Rattus norvegicus: one gene and its partners. The protein of the gene in region 3 purifies or fractionates together with the protein of the main gene of each other region. This does not show direct contact. Links are inferred from orthologs where the notes say so. Each region holds a gene or a part of one and is shown on either strand. Other genes may lie near its edges.

Region 1 (5,950 bases), on a different chromosome or scaffold from region 3:
CAGCAGGCCTGGGTGGGTGGAGCAACTCCCAAGGACTTCAGCAGGGCGCTCTGTGTCCTGTGAAGGTACCAGCATGATTGCATACCCAAAGACATCGATTTTACTACATGAACATTCAAAATAAAACTCCTACACCCTGCAGTAGTAGCTCCAAAAGCTTTGAAATCGATGTGTGTGGCATAAAAGCAATTATAATTGGGAGGCATGTCTATCTAGCGACTTTCATTGCCATGTAAATAAGCAGATGAAATTTGCAACAGAAGGTAGCCGGAGACTTTCCATAGCTGATTGGAGCAGCCAGCTGCAGTGGTGTTATGCTCCCCCACCTATTTTTTTTTTTCAGGACGGTGTCTCTGTGTAGCCCTGGCTGTCTGGAACTCAGCTCCACCTGCCTCTCCCTCCCAAGGGCTGGGATTAAAGGCGAGTGCCGCCACTGCCACCGCCACCCGGCTGTTTTACATCTTTTTTTTTTTTTTTTTTTTTTTTTTAAAGATCATTACTGTTAACTTGTAAGAAGTTGCAGCTGGTGGTCATAATTGTTTAATATTTCAATAAAACTTTCCAACTTCTCCTTCTTTTCAGAGTACTTTTACTTTATCCATGTGTTTTTGCCTGCACGTATGTATGTGTACCACATACAGCTCTGACACCCGTCTTGAACAGGCGCTTGCAGGACATTTGAGATGGCCTCCCAGTGGGTGTTTTGTCTTTGATACTATGTTCTCACAGGCTAGGCTTGCATATGCAAGGTGCTTTGGGGAACCTCCAGGACACTGGCTGGGTCCTCAGGTTCATCCTTCCCAAGATACGGGATAGAAAACATGTAATTGAAGCCCCACACAAGACCAGCTTCCCTGTCTGCCAGAAGATCTACATCTCAAAGAAGTGGGGTCTTACCATGTTTAATGCCTATGAGCATGACGTGCTGAGAAGGAGCCTGCCCCAGCGGCTATGGGATCAGATAGTCCTGAGTCGTGCAGCCAGGAGGACATCCATTGCACTGTATCTTATCACTGCATCATGCTTACATAAGGCTTACGTTCCAAGAGAAAATGTTGATGCCTAGGGGCCGCCTCCAGGAACCTTACAAAATTAAGAAGAATTGGGGTATTTAAGCCAAGACTTGGACGTGTGTGAGTGTGCATGTCCGCATGCATAGGTGTGTGTAAATCTCAGCAGTGATTAAGCAAAACATACTGGTTTGAGATCCAAATCTGATGGGAAAGGGTGAGTGCGGTAAGAGAGATGGAATCAGGGTGCGGTATGAATACACAAGGCAGTGACCCCGAGTTGACAGTCCCAGAAAGCTTGCCCAACAAAAAAAGGGGGGTGCACAGGACTTCAAGCTGCAGCTTGAAGGAGACAGGACACAGTGAAGGCCTCCAACTGGGGAGTATGACAGACTGACTCGCAGGCTGGAGTTTCTGAAGGCCAGGGCGAAGCTACCTTCCTGAGAACGTGTGCGGGAAGCTGTTTATAGCACAGACAGCGCAAGCTGCACACGGGTCAGGCATTGTGTGGTGGGGCATGCAGTCCACAGTTGGAAGCAGCACCCAAAGATTCCTTTATGCTGTCCAATGAGGACCTCTGTGGAGAAGTTTCCTGTAAGTTGGGCTTATTCGTGTGTTACAGTAGCGTCGCTTGCTCTCTTTTCTAAGTAGCCAAGTCCCCACTTGGGAATGCCGTAGTTTTCAGGTTCCCCAGGGAGCCAGTTTGTGGATGCATCATAAAAACAGGAAAGACTTTTGTCAGTGTCCCTTCAGACACACATTATTTCCCAGACGTAACCATCTTGTGGCCTGCAGGCCTGCCTTTGCCCCTGTTGTAGAAGCAGGCGCAGTGGGATCTGAGGGAAGAAGGTGGTTTTCAGTTTCCTGATGCTTCCCAGGAGCAGCAGCCAAGCTGGACAGATGACCTGCCACTCTGTCACTTCTCCGGCGTTGGTTCAGCTTCCAACCGTAGCTACTCTGCTGATGGCAAGGGCACTGAGAGTCACCCTCCGGAGGACAACTGGCTCAAGTTCAGGTAGGTGGGTGGGCTGAGCAGAGGAAGTCAGTTCATGAGCAAGAAGATACTGTCCTGCTACCTGCATGTATGAGGCTTGCCTGTGCAGTAGGGCCCATGGGAAGTGTCGACTGCTGTGGGACAGGGGTGGACGAGGCTGGCAGGGAAGATTCCTGGTGAGATGATGGACCCAGTGCAGGGTCCCAGATGTGTGCCTGAAACCTTTCCTGTCTTTAGTCCCTCCCCAATTCCTTTCCTTCTTCCTCTACCACCTGCATGCCCCTGGTTTCAGCCCTCCCCCTCCACCCTCCCTCTGCTAGAAGTGAAAACAACTGCTTCCTGTATGGGGTCTTCAATGGCTATGATGGCAACCGCGTGACCAACTTTGTGGCGCAGAGACTCTCTGCAGAGCTCCTGCTGGGCCAGCTCAACACCGAACACACAGATGCTGATGTGCGACGGGTCCTGCTGCAGGTAAGAGGATTGGGCTAGGTGACAACAGCCTGACTGACTCGTGTGTCCTCCACTCCCTGGAACTTGGGCCCTGCATCTGTAAGTGTAGACAGGCTGATCTGAAGACTGCCTGCTTCTTCATCCCCTACCAAGATCATTTCTGGGTACACTTCATGGTGGCAGGGGCTCCTGGCCACAAGGAGTCCAGGACAGGCAGGGAGCAGCAGCTTTTCCATTGGTAGCAGGACTGACTTGGGAGAAGGCAGCACTGGGAACAGAGGCTCTGTGTAGAGATAGATACCTTTGTTTGAGATTTCTTTATTTCTTCTACCTAGGAAGGTTTCTTGGTCTTTGAGAAATTGGCCCTAGATTTTTTCTGTTCTCTGTGGTCTCAGTGCTTCTAGACTGGAGCTCTGCAGAGGCTAGACCAGGAGGAAGCTTTCTGCTTCACCAGTGTCCAGCCAGTCCTGATCAAGGCCCGAGGTTGTCATGCCCCTACAGACTCAGTGACCAAGCACTCCTGGACTGTCTCACTTCACATGAACCCAAATGTGGAGCACTGCTGTTCACACCCAACACTCTTGAGCGCAGGGCCTGGCCCTTTCTCTCTCATTCCTTGCAGGCTGCATAAGTAGCAACCTTTTCCCGTCCCACAGGTAAAGGTCTTTGTCAAACAGTGGACAGAAAGGCACACATATGAGGCAGAAATGATATGTCACCTGTCACACGAGGCCATCCATGAATGCCATGGATCTGTTACTCTCCATAGGGACATCTTAACAGGAGGTGATGGCGTTATTTGAGCCAACCCTTGCCTTGCCCTGTGTCTCTTCAGGCCTTCGATGTGGTGGAGAGGAGCTTCCTGGAGTCTATCGATGATGCCTTGGCTGAGAAAGCAAGCCTCCAGTCCCAGCTGCCGGAGGTAACCGACTGTCTGTACTAGTACTGCTGGGTGCCAGCACTCACCTCTGTATCACTTGCCACCCACAGGCACAGTAAGGCCTGCAGCAGGAATCATGAGGCAGCATCCTGATGGGCAGGCTGGGGTGGCACTGGGTATGTCCCTGTAGAGACTCCAGCCCAGCAGTGGGCAGCTTTTCTCGGAGGCTCATCCTTAGATGGCAGGATAGGTGGAAGGAAAGGCCTGTCCAGGTTCTGTGATCTGGTTCAGTCCAGAGCCAGGGTCACCTTCAGGCTGCCCCTAGTTAAAGCAACAGTGACCTTCCCAGGGCAGCCTACAGGTATCCAGCCTGGCCACACCTATGGTCATCTGTCTGTCTTGGCTGCTCAAGGGCCTTGTATACTTTATCTAAAGGGAAAGAGAGGATGGTAAGGTGGTACTCAAGCCCCCATGATGCTCTGATCTCTTGATGATGGTTTGCAGGGTGTGCCCCAACACCAGCTGCTACCTCAGTATCAGAAGATCCTGGAGAGACTCAAGGCACTGGAGAAGGAGATCTCGGGAGGGGCCATGGCTGTTGTGGCGGTCCTTCTCAACAACAAGCTCTACGTTGCCAATGTTGGTGAGCTACCAACCTGCCCCATACCAGTCTGCTTTCTGTCTGTGCGTACCCCAAGCTTCCCAGGGTGACTTGGGCCTGTTCCTCATTCTGTTGTCTATGTCAATCCAGGTAGAAGGACAGCAGTAGGCAGGTGGGTGTCCTGGCTCGTGATGAGTTAGTTGTGTCTGTCCTTTTGTCTTTAAATTATTTTAGGTGTATAGGTGTTTTACCTACACGTATTGTCTCTACCACATGTGTGCCTGGTGCTTGCAGAGGCATCTGACTCCCTGGTACTGGAGTTCAGACTGTTGTGGGCCACCACATGGGTCCTGGGAATAGAACTGTGTCCTCTGGAGGAGCAGCCAGTGCTCTTAACTGCTGGGCCATCTGGGGGAGGGGGTGTGTGTCTCTGCATACAGTAGGGCTGGCATGTGAGGCAAGAAGAAAATCCAACTCAACATGATTTAGTAGCTGCTGTTGATTCAGACATTTAGAGCAGCAGTTCTCAACCCCTTTGGGGGTCAAATGACCTTTTCACAGGGGTCACCTAAGACCATCGGAAAACATGGATGTTTTTTTGTTTTGTTTTGTTTTTTTCTTTTCTTTTTTTCGGAGCTGGGGACTAAACCCAGGGCCTTGCGCTTGCTAGACAAGCGCTCTATCACTGAGCTAAATCCTCAACCCCAACATGGATGTTTATATTATGACTCATAACAGTCGCAAAATCACAGTTATGAGGTAGCAACAAAAATACTTTTATGGTTGGGGGTCACCACAGAGGAACTGTGTTAAAGAGTAGGAGCATTAGGAAGGTTGAGACCCAGTGGGCTAGAGTCTGACAGACAGTAGGCAGTTTATTTTAGTCAGAGTACAATTTGGAATAAGTTCCAGGTATCACATAGTTTTATGGGTGCCATAAGACATAATTACATCAAGACTCTTACTTCTTTTCCTTTCCTTTCCTTTTTTTTTTTCCTTTTTTTCTTATGTTTTTCTTCTTAGAATGTTACTTGCTTAACTCAGAATGTAGTACCAATGAAATGGTGACAGCTTTGCCAATAACAAGAACATGCTCTTCCATGGCTAGGAAGGGAAACTGCCACAGGCGGCAGGTCCCAAAGATACATGGATTCCTTTCCCTTTTTTTTTTTTTTTTTTTTGGTTCTTTTTTTTTTTTTTCCGGAGCTGGGGACCGAACCCAGGGCCTTGCGCTTCCTAGGCAAGCGCTCTACCACTGAGCTAAATCCCCAACCCCCTCCTTTCCTTTTTTGAGACAGGGTTTCTCTCCATAGCTCTGCCTGTCTAGGAACTCACTCTTTCGATCAGGCTGGCCATGAAGTTGCAGAGATCCCTCCCACTGCCTCCTGAGTGCTGGGTTTAAAGGCCTGCACCATACACAGTGAAACCCTTCAAAGTACACGTCACTTCTATAAATAGATAAGTACATGTGTTAAGATCTTCAGGCCTTACAGGAGGATCTGGTGTGATCTTGGTCATACAGATAGCACAGAGGTCACCTAGGCTGTTAACACCTCTGTTCCCAGGCCTGTGGGTGAAAAGCAGCTTATGTAACTCTCCCTTTGAAGAGACAGCCCTGCGTGTTCAACATCCCATGTTTGCCTAGTTTATCTGTGGGCCCAGTATCTGCAGCCCCATGGCTGCTTCTTTAGAAGGCCAATTTGCTTGCAGTGAAGACCTGCTCTGAATTCTTAAAAACAGCAGGAAGCTGGATGATGGGGACATTTGTATTTAAGACCAAAGGAGGGGCCATCAGGGGACCCAAGAACGTGTGTGATACATGTCACTGTAAGGACTCAGTAGCTGTCACTCATGGTGTCCCTGACTCCCTTCCTCCTCTTAAAATTTTCTTAGGGATCAACTTGCAAACCATAAAACAGCTGATAAGTAGTTAGTGCATCTCCATGCCCCACTCTAGCCCCAACACTTCCTGTCCTGTGCAGTCTGGCTTCATCCAGAGCCCCGTATTCATA
Region 2 (5,950 bases), on a different chromosome or scaffold from region 3:
CCCCCACAAAATGTGAGCCTAGTCTACTCAACATACCCTCTAGGTAACGCAGGTTTGCCTTCTGCAAACTGTTAGCTCTCAAAATTCCAGCCACTTCTCTAACTTTTTCTGTCCATTCAAATATGTAACATTTAGCTGTCTTATAAACGCTACTCATCAGAGTGGCATCTTATTCCTCCCTTGCAAACCTGGGTTGTTTTTTTTTTTTTTTCCAGTTTTCCTCCCTCTAGCCATGCTACATTCTTCTATGCCTGCTGTGAGGCCCTCTAGAAACAGACTGTATTTTCTTCTTTCAGAGGACATCTCAGTCATGAGAGCATAACTATTTGCTTGCTTCTCTGCTTCACGTTATTTCTTCTACCAAACTGTGAGCCTCTGGAAGAAATGTTGCATAGGTTTCTAGTGGAAGGGCTAGCCCAAGTCAAACCTCAAAAAGGCTAGATTTGCCGACAGTACAGTCTAGAATTGATGCTCCCTTCTTTGACAATGCCGCCTCATACAAATCTGGAGACCCCAAAGCCTGCTAAGGGTGACGCCCATCATGCTTCCTTTCTGCTCTCCTTTGGGTGTGGAATTTCCCCTTTCTTCTTTCTGGAATCTCCAAACCGAATGAACCAATCTTAAAGTCATGACTTAGTGCTCAGGTGTTAGAAAGATGCCTTAGCAGTTAAGAACAATGGCTCTTCTTAGAGGACCAGGATGTGATGTACAGCACCCAGATGCAGGCTTACAACTGACACCTTCTTCTGACCTCCCCAGGCACCAGGCAAGGATGTGGTGCACAGACACATATGTAGGTAAAATACTCATATACTTTTTTTTTTTATTATTAATGATTCAGCCATTAAAGCAGAGGTGCTATTCAGAAGGTGAGCTCAGAGATCCTGAATAGTGGTTCACTGGCTTGGTATTGAAGAGAGGGAGAAGCTCCAGCCTGGAGCCCTAAGCAGATTGTTCTCCATAGCAGTGAGAAAGTCTCACTTAAAATGAACATTCAGTACTTGTCGGGAAACCATTACCTTTTAAAATGTTGTGCTGTTAGTTAAAGGAGTCTCCAAATTCTCACTTGAACAGTTGTATTAGAAACCAGCACTTCTATTACACTTGGCCAAATGCCTAGTTTACAGACCAGATGTAATCAGATTGCCTTGTGACCAGTGTGCACCAGGGCACATAGGTTTCTTTCCTGCCTCTTGGGCTGTGGTGAAAGTATCTTTCTATCAAGGCTCTGCTCTAAGTGACCTTTCTTCTTTCCAGGTCTCTTACTTGCCTTGAGAGCACTTACCACACTGTGTACCCAAACAGACTAAAAGCTCTTTGGAAGAAAGCTAATCTGTGTCCTATTTTCTTTTCTTCCTTCCTTCCTTGTTCAATAGTGCTGTGGATGAACATAGGACTTGTGCAAGGCAGGCCACCAGTTTCCCACTGAGTTCCACTTTTACACTATCTTCCTGCTCCACTGAGGCTCAGATCTTAAGGAGCAGCCTGGTTGGTGCACGCGTAAATAAGGATTAAAAAGACTTGCTAGGAACAACAGGAGCTCAAAAATAATATTCTTTTAGCTGTCTAATCCTTTCCCTGAATTTACTTACATGTATAAATTAAACATCTGCTTGTGACAGTTCTAAAGCAGTCAGTCTGGTAAGGTTTTTAAGACATCTAAAACAAGGGCCAAAGTTGCCCTAAGAGATACCTAGAAGACCTAAAAGGGGAAAAAAAGAAGAAAAAGAAAAACAAGAGAGAGATACGAAGAAGGGGTGTACACCTATATTTTCAGCACTTGGGGGCCAAGGGCTGCTAAGGCAGGAGGATGATGAGATTCAATCTAATGGAGGTTACACAGCAGGACTCTGCCAAGAGAGGGGGGTTGGGGGGGAGAGAATAAGAATGAATGAGTATGAGGAATGGGACACTAGGCATGACGATGCCTTGAAGACCCAGGGACAGAAAGAAAGCTTGTAGAGAGGAGAGGTAAAGGTGGGGACATGCCCCATTCAAGATGACCACTAAAGCCACATGGTGGAAGTCTATGAAGCCTGGGGAAGTGGACACCTAGAGAGAGACTGACTATAGAATAGATTAAAAGATGGCCTGCTCCACTAGAGGGTTTAAATGTTCATTTGATATTCCTGGTGCACGAGCTAGGGCAGGCAATGAAGAAACTGAACAAGATAGTCACATTACAGCAGAATAACCAAAAAAAAAAAAAAGAGAGAGAGAGAGAGAGAGAGAGAAAGAAAATCAAAATTTCAAGCTGGTTGAAGTTCCTAGGCCTGAGCATGCAAACCAAGACAGGTGTCATGCCAATCTTGGATGAATCTAGAAACAATGACGACAAGAACAACAAAGCCTCTGCACAGACAGAGAAGAGTATTTCCTAGAGGAATTTCTGGGAGGAATTAACTGAGACTCCCTGTAGTGGGTAGTGCCTTCCAGAACTGGCCCAAGGGAAAAGCTACTGGCTTTTGCCCTCTTGCCTCTGAACTTCCTGAAGAATGCATCTAGCTTGCTGCCATTCTGAATTTAACTACAAAATCCCCTACACCACTCAAGAAAGAAAGCACCGGAAAAGAGTACATTGTTTACCTGAACAACAAATGTATTCCATTCCCAAAGTAAATCCTGAAAACAGAGATTCTCCAAAAAGTACACGTATAAAAGAGGGTGTGCGAGCCAGGTTTAATTCCAGCACTTCAGAGGTGGTGGCAGGAGAATCTGTTTGAGGCCAGCCTGGCCTACAAGCTAATTTCAGGCAAGCCAGAGCTACACAGTGAGACCGCCCTCTCCAAAAGCAAGCAGGGTGAGGTGGTGTACTCCTTTACTGCCAGCACTGGGGAGGTAAGCAGAGGAAATCAAGACCAGTCAGTCTAAACACTCTCCAGGCTACACAGCAAGACTGTCAGAGAGAGAGATGTGCATGTGTGTAAGGGCTCTTACCACAATGAGAGAACTGAAAACAGGTTTCAAGATGATTGATTAAATATAAGCCTGTGCTCAAACCATGATGGCAAATTCGACAAAGCAGATCAAAGAATTTAGCTGCCTCAGAGAGCAGACACAGCCCCAACCTGCCATGTTAAAACTGCATGCAGGCATTTAAGCCATAGTTGATTTTTTTAGAAGCTTATTTTTATTTTATGTTATGTGTATGGGGGCTCTGCCTACATGCATGTTTGTGCACCATGCACATGCAGTACCCAAAGAGGCCAGAGGAGGGTGCCAGATCCTCTGGGACTGGAATTACAGACATAAAGTTATGCTAGGGCAAGAATGAACTGAGACTGCATGAGCAGCGCCAGTCAGGTCACAGGTTTACCCTGTTATCTAGTTCATCTACAAGAGAGCCTGTCTACACTGCGAGAAACTGAAGCTCAGTGTACAGTGGACATCTGTGCAAATCTCAGGGGGAAGTAAAATGACCCTTATGTTTATCACATGTAAGATCTATAATTTTAGATAAAATGCTGAGGACACGGGAACCAGCTAGTAACACCTAGAGGTACAGATGACACAAACCCGGACTCTTGAAACCTATAGGATCAAGACAAAAGAAAGCAGGAGACACTGAGAACCTAGAGACAAAAGACTTACCAACCAACCAGAAGCCCTTAACTTGGAGCTTGGTACAACTGAACAAACTATGAACCAGGCAGATACGGGTCACACTCCAGGCACCCTGCTCTTCTCAGAACAAATATCATCGCAAAGGGACTTTTGGAGATTGAGGTTTCCTGCTCTAGGTGGCACTTCTCACTCAGTGATTCCTAACCAGCTCCTACTTCCCCTGGCAAACTCTGAAGCTTTCTGCCACCACAGCCACCTCAACCTCTGTAATCTATAGCTCTCCCGTCTCTTCAGGACAATCAAAGAACGAGCCCAAAAGGAAGCCCACGGCCTACCTTTCGGGTGATTGCGTAATGCCCTTTGAGCTCGTGCAGGGCCCACTTGATGTCCTGGCTGCTGAGCATCTTGAAATCAGCCATCAAGAGGTCAGCAGCTTGGATGAAGCAGCGCTGGTCAAGTGGAGTCAATTTGGAATAGTCAAAAAAGTCTATCTTAGGCAACTGAAATGAGACAAAAAGCATAAAGTTAGAGGTGAGATAGCACACTCATCCAAGAGGAGGACGAGGGGGATGACAGAGGCTGGCTCTAAGGCCTCAACAGTGAAGAACATTTGCTGTTTTTCCAGAGAAGCCGGGTTTGGTTCCTACAACACACCTTCGGCAACTCACAGCTACCTAAAACCACAGTTTCAGAGACTACAAGGCTGTCTTCTGGTCCCCACGGACCAGCATGCACACCATGGTGCACACAAACTCATTCCCTACCCAACAAAGAATAACAAATAAGATGGGCACTGACGGCACACATCTTTAATCCCAGCACTCAGGAGACAAAGGCAAGTAGGTCTATCTGAGTTGGGCCAGCCTGGTCTCCAGACCTTGTTCTAAGACAGCCAGGGCTACACGGAGAAACTCCGTTAGAAAAAGCAAAGCAACCAATCAACCAACCAAATCTTTAAAACAGTACATATTACAAAAAAGACTCTTGCCTGGGCTCATAATTACTTTGTAGGGTGACCAGACTAAAACAAAAATGAAGAAAAAGTACATTATCTGTTAATTCTGCACTAGAAGGCTGAGGCAATGAGGCAGGGGTGGGTGTTGGCGACAGTTGTTTTGGTCAGTGCAAAGCCAGCAGAAATTAAACATTAAGAATCATGGGGAGGGGGGGGTGTGGTTGGGGATTTAGCTCACTGGTAGAGCGCTTGCCTAACAAGCACAAGGACCTGGGTTCAGTCCTCAGCTCTAAAGAAAAAAAAAAAAAAAAAAAAAAAGAATCATCTGGGGTGGGGTTTTTTAACCACATAACACACTCAACATTAGTGGTAGATCACAATTATTGACTAAATATTAAAGTTTTGAAACTTTTGACATCTTGATATGAGATTTGGCTAAATGGGTTGAACACAAATCTTTTAAGAATGGCTATCTATGGGCTGGAGGGAAGGCTCAGAGGTTGAGAGCAGTTCCCAGCAACCACATGGTGGCTTCACAACCATCAAAAGTGAGATCTAGCGTCCTCTTCTGGCATGTAGGCACATGTGCAGGCAAAACACCTGTACATAATAAATCTTAAAAAAAGAATGGCTACGTGCATGCTGAAGTATTTGCAGGGAAGTGGTTGTTTTTGCAATTTAGGATGGAAACATTCTAAGGAACAGCAGTAACAGACAGCAGTACAATAGAGTAGTACACCAACAATTCACGTGAAGCATTCAACTTTTATATAAATCCACAATTATAAAGCATTAAGAAAAACAAACTATTAGAACAACACAAATAATACTGGCTAATTCTTTTCCCTTAACTTGCTCTGCAGAATTAAAGGCACAAGAATTTGCTTAATTCTTTATGGGAATGGAAAGATTTCAAAAAGGAGCCTTCAGGGAGTCTGCAAACATTATGAAATGTTATTTTTCCTGCTTGCCTGTAAAGCCCTGTGTTAACAGCACCTCTTGCTGTCAGCAGGATGACCCGGAAAGCAGCAACAGAGCAGAACAGATCCAAGTGGCAAAGCCACAGGAATACTTGCCTTCACATCATCCTGGCTGGCAAGCAGGCTACTGCTGGGGTGGATAAGGATTCGGTCTTCTCTCTTTGGATAATCTGGATTTTCCAGGAGAAAATTACAAAGTCTGCAAAGTAACCCACACAATGTTACATAGTACTTTCCAAAGCCCAGACTTGCCCACTGAATCACAAAATACTTGAGGGGAAAATGTCTCAGAGACACAGGACAACTAAATTATCAAGGAATTAAGATGTACCAAGTTGGGGGGTTGGGGATTTGGCTCAGTGGTAGAGCGCTTGTCTAGCAAGCACAAGGCCCTGGGTTCAGTCCCCAGCTCCGAAAAAAAAAAAATAAGAAAAAACAAAATAAACAAAGA
Region 3 (5,950 bases):
GGAGACTTGGCACACTGGCTTGATGAAGGGTGCCCATAACTCTTATTATTATGTTGGATGAGGACTTTGGAGTTAATTAAAAAGATATTAGTGCTTGATGGGAATGTGTGGGAAAGGCATCCCTGAAGACAGGAAGCTGGATAGTAAGGGAGGCCATGAGAAGAAGTCAGAGCCGTGGATACAGACACTGAAGCCTGGTACAAAAAGAGGCCAGTCCCATCATGGGAAATCCCAGCCACCCTGTGAGAGGCTGTAAAGGTGGAGGGCTTCTCTCCTCCTCAGGCTGGTTTGAGAGGGATGCCTGTCTTATTGTGTTTCCCAGTTCAGTCTCCATCAGGCCAGACCAGCGCTGAATTTTTCATTAATTGATTTGCTGCCATGAGTGCCCGGCTTCCAGTTCCTAAGACAAGGCAGGAGGGAGGGGTTTAGATGAAGAGAAGCCTCCCTGCCCCCCTAGGACCTGTCTGCCTGGAGGAGACCGGAACAGACCTGATTGTGACAAATGTTTGCAATATGGCTCGCACTGCAGGGACACTGGAGCTTCTTAGGCACCTGGGTAGAAGGGTTTGCCCTGCCCTGCTCAGCCCTGCTCAGCCTAGCTGCTCTCCTGCCCACAGGTACAATGAGGCTCTCTTGGAAGAGGGGAAGATGATGCACAGACTGAGACACGATCGAGTGGTGAAGCTACTGGGCATCATCATAGAGGAGGGGAATTACTCGCTGGTGATGGAGTACATGGAGCAGGGCAACCTGATGCACGTGCTGAAGACCAAGGTAGGTGGCACCTAAGGCAGTCAGTGCTAAAGTGTCAAGTGCTAGCTGCTCTTGGGGTTTCGTTTGTAGCTTTCCGGTTGGAAATTTGGGTTTGTGGTTTGGATATCTTTGCTTGCTTGCTTGCTCGCTCGCTTGCTTTCTGGCTTGCTTTCTTTCCTTACTTTTGTTCGTTCATTTGTTTGTTTGTTTGTTGGAGTTTTTGTTATTGTTGATTTCTGCAACTCGATATATAGACCACAGGCTGGCCTTGAACTCACAGAATTCCGCCTACCTCTGCCTCCTCAATGCTAGGATTAAAGGTGTTTGCCACCGCAGTTGGCTTCATTTGGATTTCTGTGCCTCTTCCAGCCTTGGGGATCGTCTCCCCCACTCAGGCCCCATTTATGTCTGTATTACCACTTGAGGTTCCCTCTTTGCTGACCCACCTAGTCTTTCTCCAATCCACAGTTGGCAGACGGACCTTCTTTCAGTAATACCCGGTCTGACAGAGATGCGTGTAAATGATAACAAATTTGAGTTCATTGATGAAAATGTCTATGTTGCAGATGACAGGTAGTAATTTACAAAAGCACGTGCACTGTCACTGACTATAAGAGAAAGAGGGGTATTCGCAATTGTAATCTTAGACCATTTAAGAAGTTGCTCTAGATTAAATCTAGAATATAAAACTCAGCAATATAAAATTTAAAATCAGGGAGAAGAGGAATTACGAAAACTAGGTAATTGTTTAAAGTTCCTGTATGGATTAGGATCTGAGTCTTGTGCTAGTTCTTCAGGAGCCCATAGCTGATACAACACCGGCAAGCACAAGACGCAGAAGAAGCAATGGAGCATCTGATGTTATGGTGTCTGATAGGCACACAGTTGCCTGCTGCAGAACACGGGCGAGGTGCCCCGTCCAATCTGAGCTAAGTGGGACAGGATTCCCGAAGGACAAGTTGAAGCACATAACTAAGGAGCAAACGTTCCAGGCACAGAGATGACATGTGGGAAGGAATTAGGGGATGACAGTTTGTAGAACTGCCAGTCACCAACTTTCGCCAGAGCACAGATTGCATGTAAGGGACAGAAACATTTAGCTGCCTTTGTACCAAATATTTCCCCTCCCTCCATCTCCCCACACCTTACAAATGTCAAATCAGCAGATCTCAGAAACGCAAACATGGTGGGAAGGATAAAAGATGATACACATGGCATTGTAAGCATGTGTATCATTGTAAGGTAAGATTAGCCATGTGACAGAAGTAGGCATTTAGATCCAGAGATGAGTCATCTGTGAGGAAAGGCTTCGGTGGGTCAGCCAATAATAAGCTTCACAAGATAGGGACAAGAAGAGTCAAGGACCCAAGAGAACCAGGAAGAGGTTAGGTAGGGAACAATCATACCTCCTAATAAGGCTTTCCTGAACATATATAGATGAAGACAGGAACAGTCTCTGCTGCTGTTTTTAATTAATCAATTAATTTTTGCAAGCAAGGGCAATGAGAATGCTGCTCTCAAACGTTTAGATCCTTTTGCCTCAGCCTCCTTAGTATCTGGGACGACAGGTGTGTACCACCAGATCCAGCCTTCTGCTCTCTTTTATACTGTGGAAGTCAAGCGCTGATGCTGTGGTTCAGTTTCAGCGTGGATAAATATGGTGTGAAGGCTGTGGTTTGGTATGACTTGGGAATCTAAGCTCCACCCCCTTGACCTTTTCACCTGTAAACCATTAACAGACACTTAAAAGTTTTTAAGAGTCATTCATTCTGTAAGCTGGTCTTAGTATTGAGAAAAACTGAAATGATACTACTAAAACAGAAACATGCATTTCTTAAATAATATATTGAGGTTGATATAATTAGAGTATAATTTTAAGAGTGACCTAAGATTCTACAAAGATCTGCCAGGTCACCACATAAATACTACATGGTATCATGCATATGGCCCAGATGCTTATGTGGTAGTTGGCACTGTTAACATGCTTCCCCGAATTCCATTTCTCTCTGTGCCATTTCACATTCCCATTTCCCTGATGTTGTTATTCCTATGTAAATGCCAGTGTCATTTCACAACAGTATGCCGTGGAAATGTTTGTAGGTTTGCTGTTTATTCAGATATTCTAAACATTACTTTAGCTATACGGAGGCAATCTTTGGAATAGCAGGAGAATTAGAAGTAATAGTAACAAAAATAATAAATGTCATTGTTTAAAGGGATTTGGCTTCATGGTTTTTTAAACATGAGTTTTTATTACATAATGTACTAAATTATGTCATAGAATACCAAGTAGTCCCAGGTTATTCTATTATAAAGTATTTACTTATTTTTTTAAATATATTTCATCATTTTCTCCTTCCCTTTCCTCCCTCCAACACCTCCCATGTACCCCTCTCAATTGCTTTCTCTCAAATTCATGGCTTCTTCTTATGGTATTTTTATATGCATGTAGATTGGCACAGAATTTATTTCTATTTTTTCACTAAACAAAATATAGCAGTAGTATTTGGCTATCCTGTAGGCCCTGGGGTAGGGTCTTTCTTGAAGGAGCTTGTTTCCCAGGGACAGCAGTGCTATGGACCACATGGTGGGAGGAACCTGCTAACACTAACCTTGGGCCCTCATCCCATCGGCATGGATGGAGAAGTTGTTCTTGCCTGTTAGATTACCTCTCCATTACTTCATAGACCTAATGTGTCATTTCATTAGGAAAGTGTCCCACTTTCTGTGAAAGGAAGGATAATCGTGGAGATCATAGAAGGCATGCACTACTTACATGACGAAGGTGTAATACACAAGGACCTGAAGCCTGAAAATATCCTCGTTGACCGTGACTTTCACATTAAGGTAATCCACAGTCTGTACACGTTGAGAAGGCTGAGTGATTGTAGTCTGATTTTCCACTAGAAACCCATTGCTATAGTTGATCATGATAAAAGAGGACCTAGCTCAGCACGGAGCACGGTGCTGCTTGCAAGGCTAGCATAGTACAAGGTGTGGGCTTGACTGGATTGAAGGATACGATGAAAAAGATCTCATCCCTGGTTCCTGGGTTTTGTTTCCCTCTGATTAGATTTGGAAATGGAAACACTGAAGGGTTGCTACCTTCCCTCTGGAATGGGCTATCTGCTCATCATCTTTCCCAGGAAATCTTGTGACTGAGACTTCTCCACCCTGGAGAGAAAGGGAGTATAGAAGTGTGTGGAGACTATTCTTAAAATTCAGAAAAGGCTTAAAAGCAGTAGTAAGTCAACCATTTTGGCCTCAGAATCCTCCACTTTGTGGACCAAGGGGCATAGTTCAGTGGAGAAAACTAGTCTCGCACATCTTTGGTCCTAGACTCAGTCCTGGCTCTCCAAGACAAAGACTTCTGCTTTGACATCCTGTTTATGTCTATTTTCATTTAAGGAGTCAATTTACTTTTGAAAATTCTTTTTATCATAGCAGAGGTAATAAGGAAAATGCAGCCTATTCAGGAGCTACATGTAACTGAGGAAGCAACAGCACACATAATTAGTCTTGGTAGCTAGAATCCAAGCTGGAGACCTGAAGGGGGACCAGATAGCTCAGGGCCAGAGTTCTGGGTTTCATCCCCACACCTACACCAACAAGAAACAAAAAGATCCTGAAAACATTTAGCACTGGGGAAGAACCAGGACCTGCCTACAAGATCCGCATCAGACGCCATTCATGTCTCAGACGGCTGTTAATCCCAACGTCTTTTTTTCTTTCAATTAAGAACTTATCCTTTGTGTTCTGGGTTAAAATCTGTGCATTTCATGTAGGCACATGCTCTATCTAGCTCCTCCCTAAATGCTTCTTAGAGGCAGAAGAGGACCACCTCCTTGGATTGTCCCGTAACTGTCCTCCTCTGCCATTTCCCCTTGCCACTTTATTCTTTGCTGCGTCTGACTTGGTTATCTTTTTCTCTGCCTTTATGTGTGTTTCGATTTCCTTCTCTCCATCCTGTCTTCTCTTAGGTGCAAACTGCCAACACAAAACAAGTAGCAGCAACAGTCCCACCCTCAGGGTGGCTTTGGGATGCTCAGAGAAACAACCACGGTCCTCTGGATGTTATTGGGCAAATGAAAGGTGTGGTAACCAGTCTCTGTCTTCCCCAGAAAAGACCAAAACAAAAAAAAAAAATATGCAAAGTAAATGAGAAATTAGCACAAACACAGTTTTGTTGTCTTGCCCCAGTGTTATTGGTTAAGAATTGAGATGCCAAGGCCCCAGCAAGATAGCTCAGCTAGTAAAGATACTTTGCTGCTGGGCTTGAAGACCCAAGTTCAATCCCAGTATGGAGCGAAAGGACTTCTGCAAGTTGTCTTCTGACTCACACACACATCTTGAAATATGCGCCCCCTCAAAATAAATAAAAATAAATAAATAAATAAATGTTTAAAAGAAACTTTAAAAAATAATTGATATGCTAGCATTTTACATGAACATTCTGAGAGTCTATTGAGAGGTAACTATTCTAGATAGGCCCATGCAGCAACTGAAAAATTGATTGTGCCACACATGTACTGGATAAGCCCCAGACTTGAATTCATGAAAATCCAGTTTGATTTACTCATAAGCCTTCGTGATGAGTTCCGTTGGCCCCTCTTCTCTTCCAGATAGCCGATCTTGGTGTGGCTTCCTTTAAGACATGGAGCAAACTGACTAAGGAGGAACACAACAAGCAGAGGGAGGCCAGCAGCGTCACCAAGAAGAACGGAGGCACCCTCTACTACATGGCACCGGAACACCTGACTGACATCAACACAAAGCCCACAGAGAAGTCAGATGTGTACAGCTTCGCCATTGTGCTTTGGGCAATATTTGCTAATAAGGAGCCCTATGAGAGTAAGACATGTATAGTCATGGGACTTTGATAGTAATGAAAACCGTTAGATGAGGGTTGGTAAGAAGGCTCAGTGAGTAAAGGCCTTTACCACTGACCCTGACAACCTGAGTTCAGTCCAAATTCCAGGACTTATGTGGAGAAGGAGGGAACTGACTTCTGAAAATTGATCTCTGACTTCTCTGTACATGCACTGCAGCATGCAGATATATCTCCTACTCTCTCTCTCTCTCTCTCTCTCTCTCCCCTCTATTCTCTTTTCTTTCTGTCTCTTGATGTACACAAACACTCCCACACTAAATTTTTTAAATATCATTTTTAAACATAAACTGATACCCTTTAGTTAAT
Region 4 (5,950 bases), on a different chromosome or scaffold from region 3:
AGTAAAGATTGTAACATGGTAGCATGGTGCATAAGAAGTTGTCCTAAGAGGAGATACATTAAAAAAAAAGTGTTGACGTAGACAGCGCTCCCTGCCCGGTAACGTAACGTAATGTAACGTAACGTAACGTAAGTTCAGTTCTCGCGCGAGTTGTACTTCCGCCCTTTTGGCACCATGGCAGTTAGGAAGAACCAGCACCCGACGAAAGGTGGCAAGAAGGGAGCTAAGAAGAAAGTGGTTGATCCATTCTCTAAGAAAGACTGGTATGATGTGAAAGCTCCAGCAATGTTCAATATTAGGAGCATCCGGAAAACACTAGTCACGAGGACTCAAGGAGCCAAAACTGCACCTGATGGCCTCGAGGGCCGTGTGTTTGAAGGGAGACTTGCCGATCTACAGAATGACGAAGATTCATTTAGAAAAGTCAAGCTAAATACTGAGGACGTTCAGGGCAAGAACTTCCATGGCATGGATCTTACCCGGGACAGAATGTGTTCCGTGGTCAAAAAGTGGCAGACCACCATGATTGAAGCTCTTGTTGATGTCAAGACGACCGATGGGTATTTGCTCCGACTGTTCTGTGTTGGTTTCACTAAAAAGTACAACAACCAGATTAGAAAGATATCCTATTCGCAGGTCTACCAGATCCAGAAGAAGATGATGGAAATCATGACCCGAGAAGTGCAGACAAATGACTTGAAGGAAGTAGTTAATAAACTGATTTTAGGCAGCATTGGGAAAGACATAGAGAAGGTTTGCCAGTCCATCCATCCTCTCCATGACGTCTTTGTTAGGAAAGTCAAAATGCTGAAGAAACCCAAGTTTGAATTGGGAAAACCCATGGAGCTCCATGGTGAAGGCGGTGGTTCTCACAAAACAACTGGTGAGGAGACAAGTGCTAAAGTTGAACGAGCTGATGGCTATGAACCACCAGTCCAGGAATCAGTTTAAACTCCAGATTTTTAATAGTGACAAATAAAAAGTCCTATTTGTGAAAAAAAAAAGTTAGTCAGGAAAAGTGTTTAGGATCTAAAGAAGGAAAAGTAGTGTTTTGTTTTTGTTCTCTTGTAGAGATTATAGACATTTAATTTCTGGCCATATGGGTAGTAGAAATGAAAATGTGGTCCTTAGTATTAACTCCCCGCTCACCATCTTATTAAGCACCTCATTCAGGGTAGCCTATGAAGATCTGATAAAGTCTGGGGACACAGCTTGATGGAGGATGACTCTTCATCACTTGTCATCAGCCGATGCTGGCCTTTCCCAGTTCTGGACAACAGAGTCAAGCAGGAGTAAATAGGGAAACCATCTTTATGAAAAACATTTTTTCTAAATGTTGAAGAGCAATATGGAAATTTTTGTTTTCATACTTGAAAATGAAACATTTTGGGCAAGTAACAAAGCATTTATTTGGCAGGTGCTTAATTCACTTACATTCTATGTTCTATATGAAGGAAGCAGTGTTGAAAGGGATAGCATTTTATATGCCCAGATAACTAACTTAACTAAAGGCTGAAAGACTTTGCATAGGATGTCACAATATGTTTGAAATGATGGTACATACATATGCAGTGCATTACATACACACACACACACAATCATGGTTTAAAATAATTATTTTCATTTATTTTTTCAGCATTTGGGGGCTACTTAAGTGAAGTAGTAGAAGAAAATACGCCACCTAAAATGGAAAAGGAAGGTTTAGAGATAATGATTGGAAAGAAGAAAGGCATCCAGGGCCATTACAATTCTTGTTACTTAGACTCAACTTTATTCTGGTAAGTTCATGTTCTCTGCAGTAGGCATAGATGGTGCTTCCTGGGGGAGGGATACAGTGTGTGTGTGTGTGAAAGGAGGTGCCTTTGAGTAGAGAAACTGGGAGTTAGGAAAGATCACAAGATTTGCTCCTTGGCAGCTAAAGAATTTCATATCTTATTTCAAGATTTAAAAAACTAATATAAAAATACTTCAGTAAGTAGTGAGTAAGAGCGCTGGTCCCTGTGAAGGATGCACCAAGGACATCTCCCTCCAGTGCAGTAGACTGCACATGAACGAGCTGAGTAGCTGCAGTCCACCCTTGGTACCGTGTATGCATGCTTTAGGACAGCCCGGTGATCATAGAAAGTCGTTATGTTAGAAGTTATTTCCCACGGGATCACTGTTGTCCTCCTTTGTGTTGTTTTCCCTAAAGTGGAGTGAATAATACAAGGAACATTAGGCTCTGAAGGTTGAACCCTGAATCCATGGCCTTAAGAATTGTGTACTGCCAGTTAAACTGGTGGCTCTGCCAGCTCTGCTCTGTAAGCTGTGTCACAAGAACAAGGCGGTTAGTGTGGATGGTAGAACCTCAGAGGTAGACAGCAGAATAAAGGCTATGGGCCGTCTTGTTGGTGGAATACTTTTGATTAAACAAATCTTATACTATTGCTATAATATTCTTTAGATTTCTGATAAAAAAATCTGTTTAAGCCAAATGTTATATTATATTCTTTCATACCAGTAAATTTCTGCTGCTGGTCACTCACAGGTTATTTTACAGAAGCACATGTCTCAGGAGAGCTAGATGTCTCTCTCTCTCTCTCTCTCTCTCTCTCTCTCACTCACACACACACACACACACACACACATATACACACACACACATACACACACACATGCACACACACATACACACATACACATACACACATACACACACATGCACACACATGCACACACACATACACACACACATGCACACACACATACACACACATACACACACACACACACACACACACACACACACACAGATTGATGGTCTGGAACTTCAGGATCTGTGAGTGCTCATGACTGAACACAGGCCTCTGCTGTCTGAGCCATGAATTCTTACACCCCTGCTCCCCTATACTCCTTTCTCTTTCTCTTCCGACTCCTTTAAGAATCTTTCTCAAATATCAATGTATTTATAGCATAAGGAAAATATTCTTTTATTTTGCAGCTTATTTGCTTTTAGTTCTGCCCTGGACACTGTATTACTTAGACCCAAAGAGAAGAATGATGTAGAGTATTACAGTGAGACTCAAGAGCTACTGAGGACAGAGATAGTCAATCCTCTGAGAATGTAAGGAAAGACGTTTTGTCTTTAGTTGGTGTTCTGTTTGCTGTTTTCTGTATAGTATTTTTTGCTATGTGCTCATATAGTAAAAAAAAAAAAGATGAACAGATTAATTTTTATGACCTATTGACTTTTAAAAACCTTTAGTCTTCTGCGTCTGTTTATCTCCTTGTATGTAATAGGTGTATTCTATGAAACGATGTGAATTGTTTGGTGTCATGTATTACAAGTTAGTGATAACACTGCACTGAGAGCAGATGAGGTGTATCATAGTAATATGGTGTTTGTCTAAAAGAATATATTTAGGTCTTCCTCTGCTCCTTTACGAATGTGCAGGAGACATGTTTGATATTTGACATTGGTGATTGATGTGTGATAACATCACAAGATGCTTAAGTGAAGAAGAGTTCAGTCATTCAGTGATCATGAAACAAATGGGTCAAGAAGACAGAACAAACTATGCAATTTAAAGGCCAATTATGATTAGTTTAAGTTTTGTGATATACTTTTCTTAACAATGAAAATAAAAATTAATATATTTAAAAAATAACAAAATATAGAAATAAAGGAATATTCCAAATGGCCTACTGTGTCACATAACTAAGAAAGTAAAAGAATAAATTTCTCTATTTGGATACTTGTTTTCCTCAAATTCTGTAATCATCTTACCCTTTAAAATAAATATGTGCTTTGATTTTCACATTAACTATTTTGTCTTCTGCAAATTTTAACTACTCAGATTTTTCTTTCACTATTTAAATGGAATTACCAGTACAGGTCAAAGCAATGACAAAGTGAATTATCACAGTCTTCCTTCTTTTTAAAACACTGTAATCCTTTCTGTAATGGATTTTCTGCAGTAGAGATTGTCAGCTGGCCTGTGAGATCAGGATGCGTTTTGCCAGACATAGTGGTAGACTACCCAGACATGGTGGTAGACTACCCAGACATGGTGGTAGACTATCCAGACAGACATGGTGGTAGACTACCCAGACAGACATGGTGGTAGACTACCCAGACATGGTGGTAGACTATCCAGACATGGTGGTAGACTATCCAGACATGGTGGTAGACTATCCAGACAGACATGGTGGTAGACTATCCAGACAGACATGGTGGTAGACTATCCAGACAGACATAGTGGTAGACTATCCAGACAGACATGGTGGTAGACTATCCACCTGTAATCCCAGCACTTGCTAGGTCAGAGGCTGAGGCAAGATCAGTTGAGCTGAGAAATCTGAGATCTATTTCCAATGTCTGCAAATTTACGTCTGCTGTTTGGATACATTGCTTTATTACAAGCTTCCCAGAAGCAGATTTTTTGTTGGTGGTGGTTTTTGTTTGTTTGTTTAATCTCCTTTTATATTCCCAGTGGCAAACACCTATTTTCATGAGTCGTAGGTATGTAGTGTATGCTGATTGGAAAGAGTTAACAAGTGAACGAATAGTCCTCTAAAAAGCAGGTACAGTTAGTGATCAGCCAGTGCTGACTTGCTCCATTAAGCCCATAGTCTCCTGTAGCCAAACAAGGAGAATTTCTTCTTAATTATGTTGACTGGTTTATTGCAGACTTAGATTTTTGGTATCTCATCAGTTTCCTTTTTCCATGTCTCTGTCCTACATATTCAAGTGACTTTTCTAAAATGTAAGTCATTCTCTTTTATAAAACAAGTATTTTAATAATAAGCAAATGTTACTAAAAACCATTCACCAAGACTTTAAAAATATTTTAGAGTTGTATTACTGCATGGTAGTTATTTTTAAGGTGTTTAATAGTATCTGGAAACAGTTCTGGTTCTCAGTCTTTCACTTTTCAAAGTTTAGTAAGAAGCCTTCAATTATGCTTGTAAAAATAACTGCCTAGTCTATTGATCTGTTTCACATGTTAGAATTGTATGAAAGTATTTGATTATTAAGATATGTCATATAATTCATTGTGCCAGTGTCAGTTAATTCATTTTTATCAACATAGATATGGATATGTGTGTGCCACAAAGATTATGAAGCTGAGGAAAATACTTGAAAAAGTTGAGGCTGCATCAGGATTTACCTCTGAGGAAAAAGGTGACTTTTCTAAGTTATGTGTTGAAAATAACTTGAAAGTATGTTACTAAGCAAGTATTTAAATTATTTCCTGAAATATGTCTGTTTTACTTTAGGATCAATCTTAAATTAGAATTATTTGAGAGGGCTGGGGATATATGTATCTCTGTGGTAACGTATGCAAAAGGCCCTGGGTTTGATTTCCAGCACTGCATAAATAAATGAAAAAATTATTTTCTGTGTGACATGCAAGTTTCTCCTGGTATTGTAAATGATTTTTCTCTTCCAAAGTGACTGTGATGTGTAGTAAAGAGCTTTCTAAGACGCTGGCTGGCCCTACAGTAGATGTCCCCTTGTGGTGAGCGATGTCCTGGGCCACTCCCAGTTTCCCACCCACGTTCCTTGTTGAACGGAGCTGTGGAATAGCTGGACAGCGTGTCTGTTTACTCACAACTGAAAAAGTTTTCAGATTCAACTTCTGACTTTGAGTTTTTTAACAGTGTTTGTAGACAGCTGTGATGATTATACACATGATAATTACTTAAATAGAAGGAAAAATTGGGTTTATTTTAGGTATTATTCTACTGAAACACCTTAAAAAACAAAAATTAAATTTCCTGTGTGTGAATATATTTTGCTAAATGGGACAATATGACAACAAAATGAAAAAGTAACATTTTATTATAACCTGTAAGTAAAAGTTTTACCTTGTTAGGAAAGTTGGAAAAGACTAACCATTTAATTAAAATAATATTGAAGAAATGAAATTAAGTTCAGTGTAGAAATATGTCTGTCAGACTATACATG

Evidence for each region. Proteins that work in one complex are often made in the same cells at the same time.
Region 1: the proteins of Ripk1 (region 3) and Tab1 purify together in Homo sapiens (affinity purification with mass spectrometry; 3 studies listed by BioGRID and IntAct, with this or other methods). This does not show direct contact. The link is inferred for Rattus norvegicus from reciprocal best matches to the Homo sapiens genes RIPK1 and TAB1.
Region 2: the proteins of Ripk1 (region 3) and Rnf216 purify together in Homo sapiens (affinity purification with western blotting; 3 studies listed by BioGRID). This does not show direct contact. The link is inferred for Rattus norvegicus from reciprocal best matches to the Homo sapiens genes RIPK1 and RNF216.
Region 4: the proteins of Ripk1 (region 3) and Cyld purify together in Homo sapiens (affinity purification with western blotting; 5 studies listed by BioGRID). This does not show direct contact. The link is inferred for Rattus norvegicus from reciprocal best matches to the Homo sapiens genes RIPK1 and CYLD.

What each region holds. Positions count from the first base shown.
Region 1 is NC_086025.1:113,571,704-113,577,653, forward strand, and holds part of Tab1 (TGF-beta-activated kinase 1 and MAP3K7-binding protein 1), read left to right. Parts: intron 1-1,888; coding exon 1,889-2,025; intron 2,026-2,324; coding exon 2,325-2,478; intron 2,479-3,292; coding exon 3,293-3,379; intron 3,380-3,841; coding exon 3,842-3,980; intron 3,981-4,960; exon of another isoform or gene 4,961-5,090; intron 5,091-5,950. UniProt on the Homo sapiens protein: Key adapter protein that plays an essential role in JNK and NF-kappa-B activation and proinflammatory cytokines production in response to stimulation with TLRs and cytokines.
Region 2 is NC_086030.1:16,590,920-16,596,869, reverse strand, and holds part of Rnf216 (E3 ubiquitin-protein ligase RNF216), read right to left. Parts: intron 5,699-5,950; coding exon 5,596-5,698; intron 4,065-5,595; coding exon 3,900-4,064; intron 1-3,899.
Region 3 is NC_086035.1:31,065,447-31,071,396, reverse strand, and holds part of Ripk1 (receptor-interacting serine/threonine-protein kinase 1), read left to right. Parts: intron 1-617; coding exon 618-774; intron 775-3,462; coding exon 3,463-3,600; intron 3,601-4,733; exon of another isoform or gene 4,734-4,845; intron 4,846-5,375; coding exon 5,376-5,604; intron 5,605-5,950. UniProt on the Homo sapiens protein: Serine-threonine kinase which is a key regulator of TNF-mediated apoptosis, necroptosis and inflammatory pathways.
Region 4 is NC_086037.1:34,504,622-34,510,571, reverse strand, and holds part of Cyld (ubiquitin carboxyl-terminal hydrolase CYLD), read left to right. Parts: intron 1-2; exon of another isoform or gene 3-174; coding exon of another isoform or gene 175-883; intron 884-1,636; coding exon 1,637-1,778; intron 1,779-2,980; coding exon 2,981-3,103; intron 3,104-5,072; coding exon 5,073-5,164; intron 5,165-5,950. UniProt on the Homo sapiens protein: Deubiquitinase that specifically cleaves 'Lys-63'- and linear 'Met-1'-linked polyubiquitin chains and is involved in NF-kappa-B activation and TNF-alpha-induced necroptosis.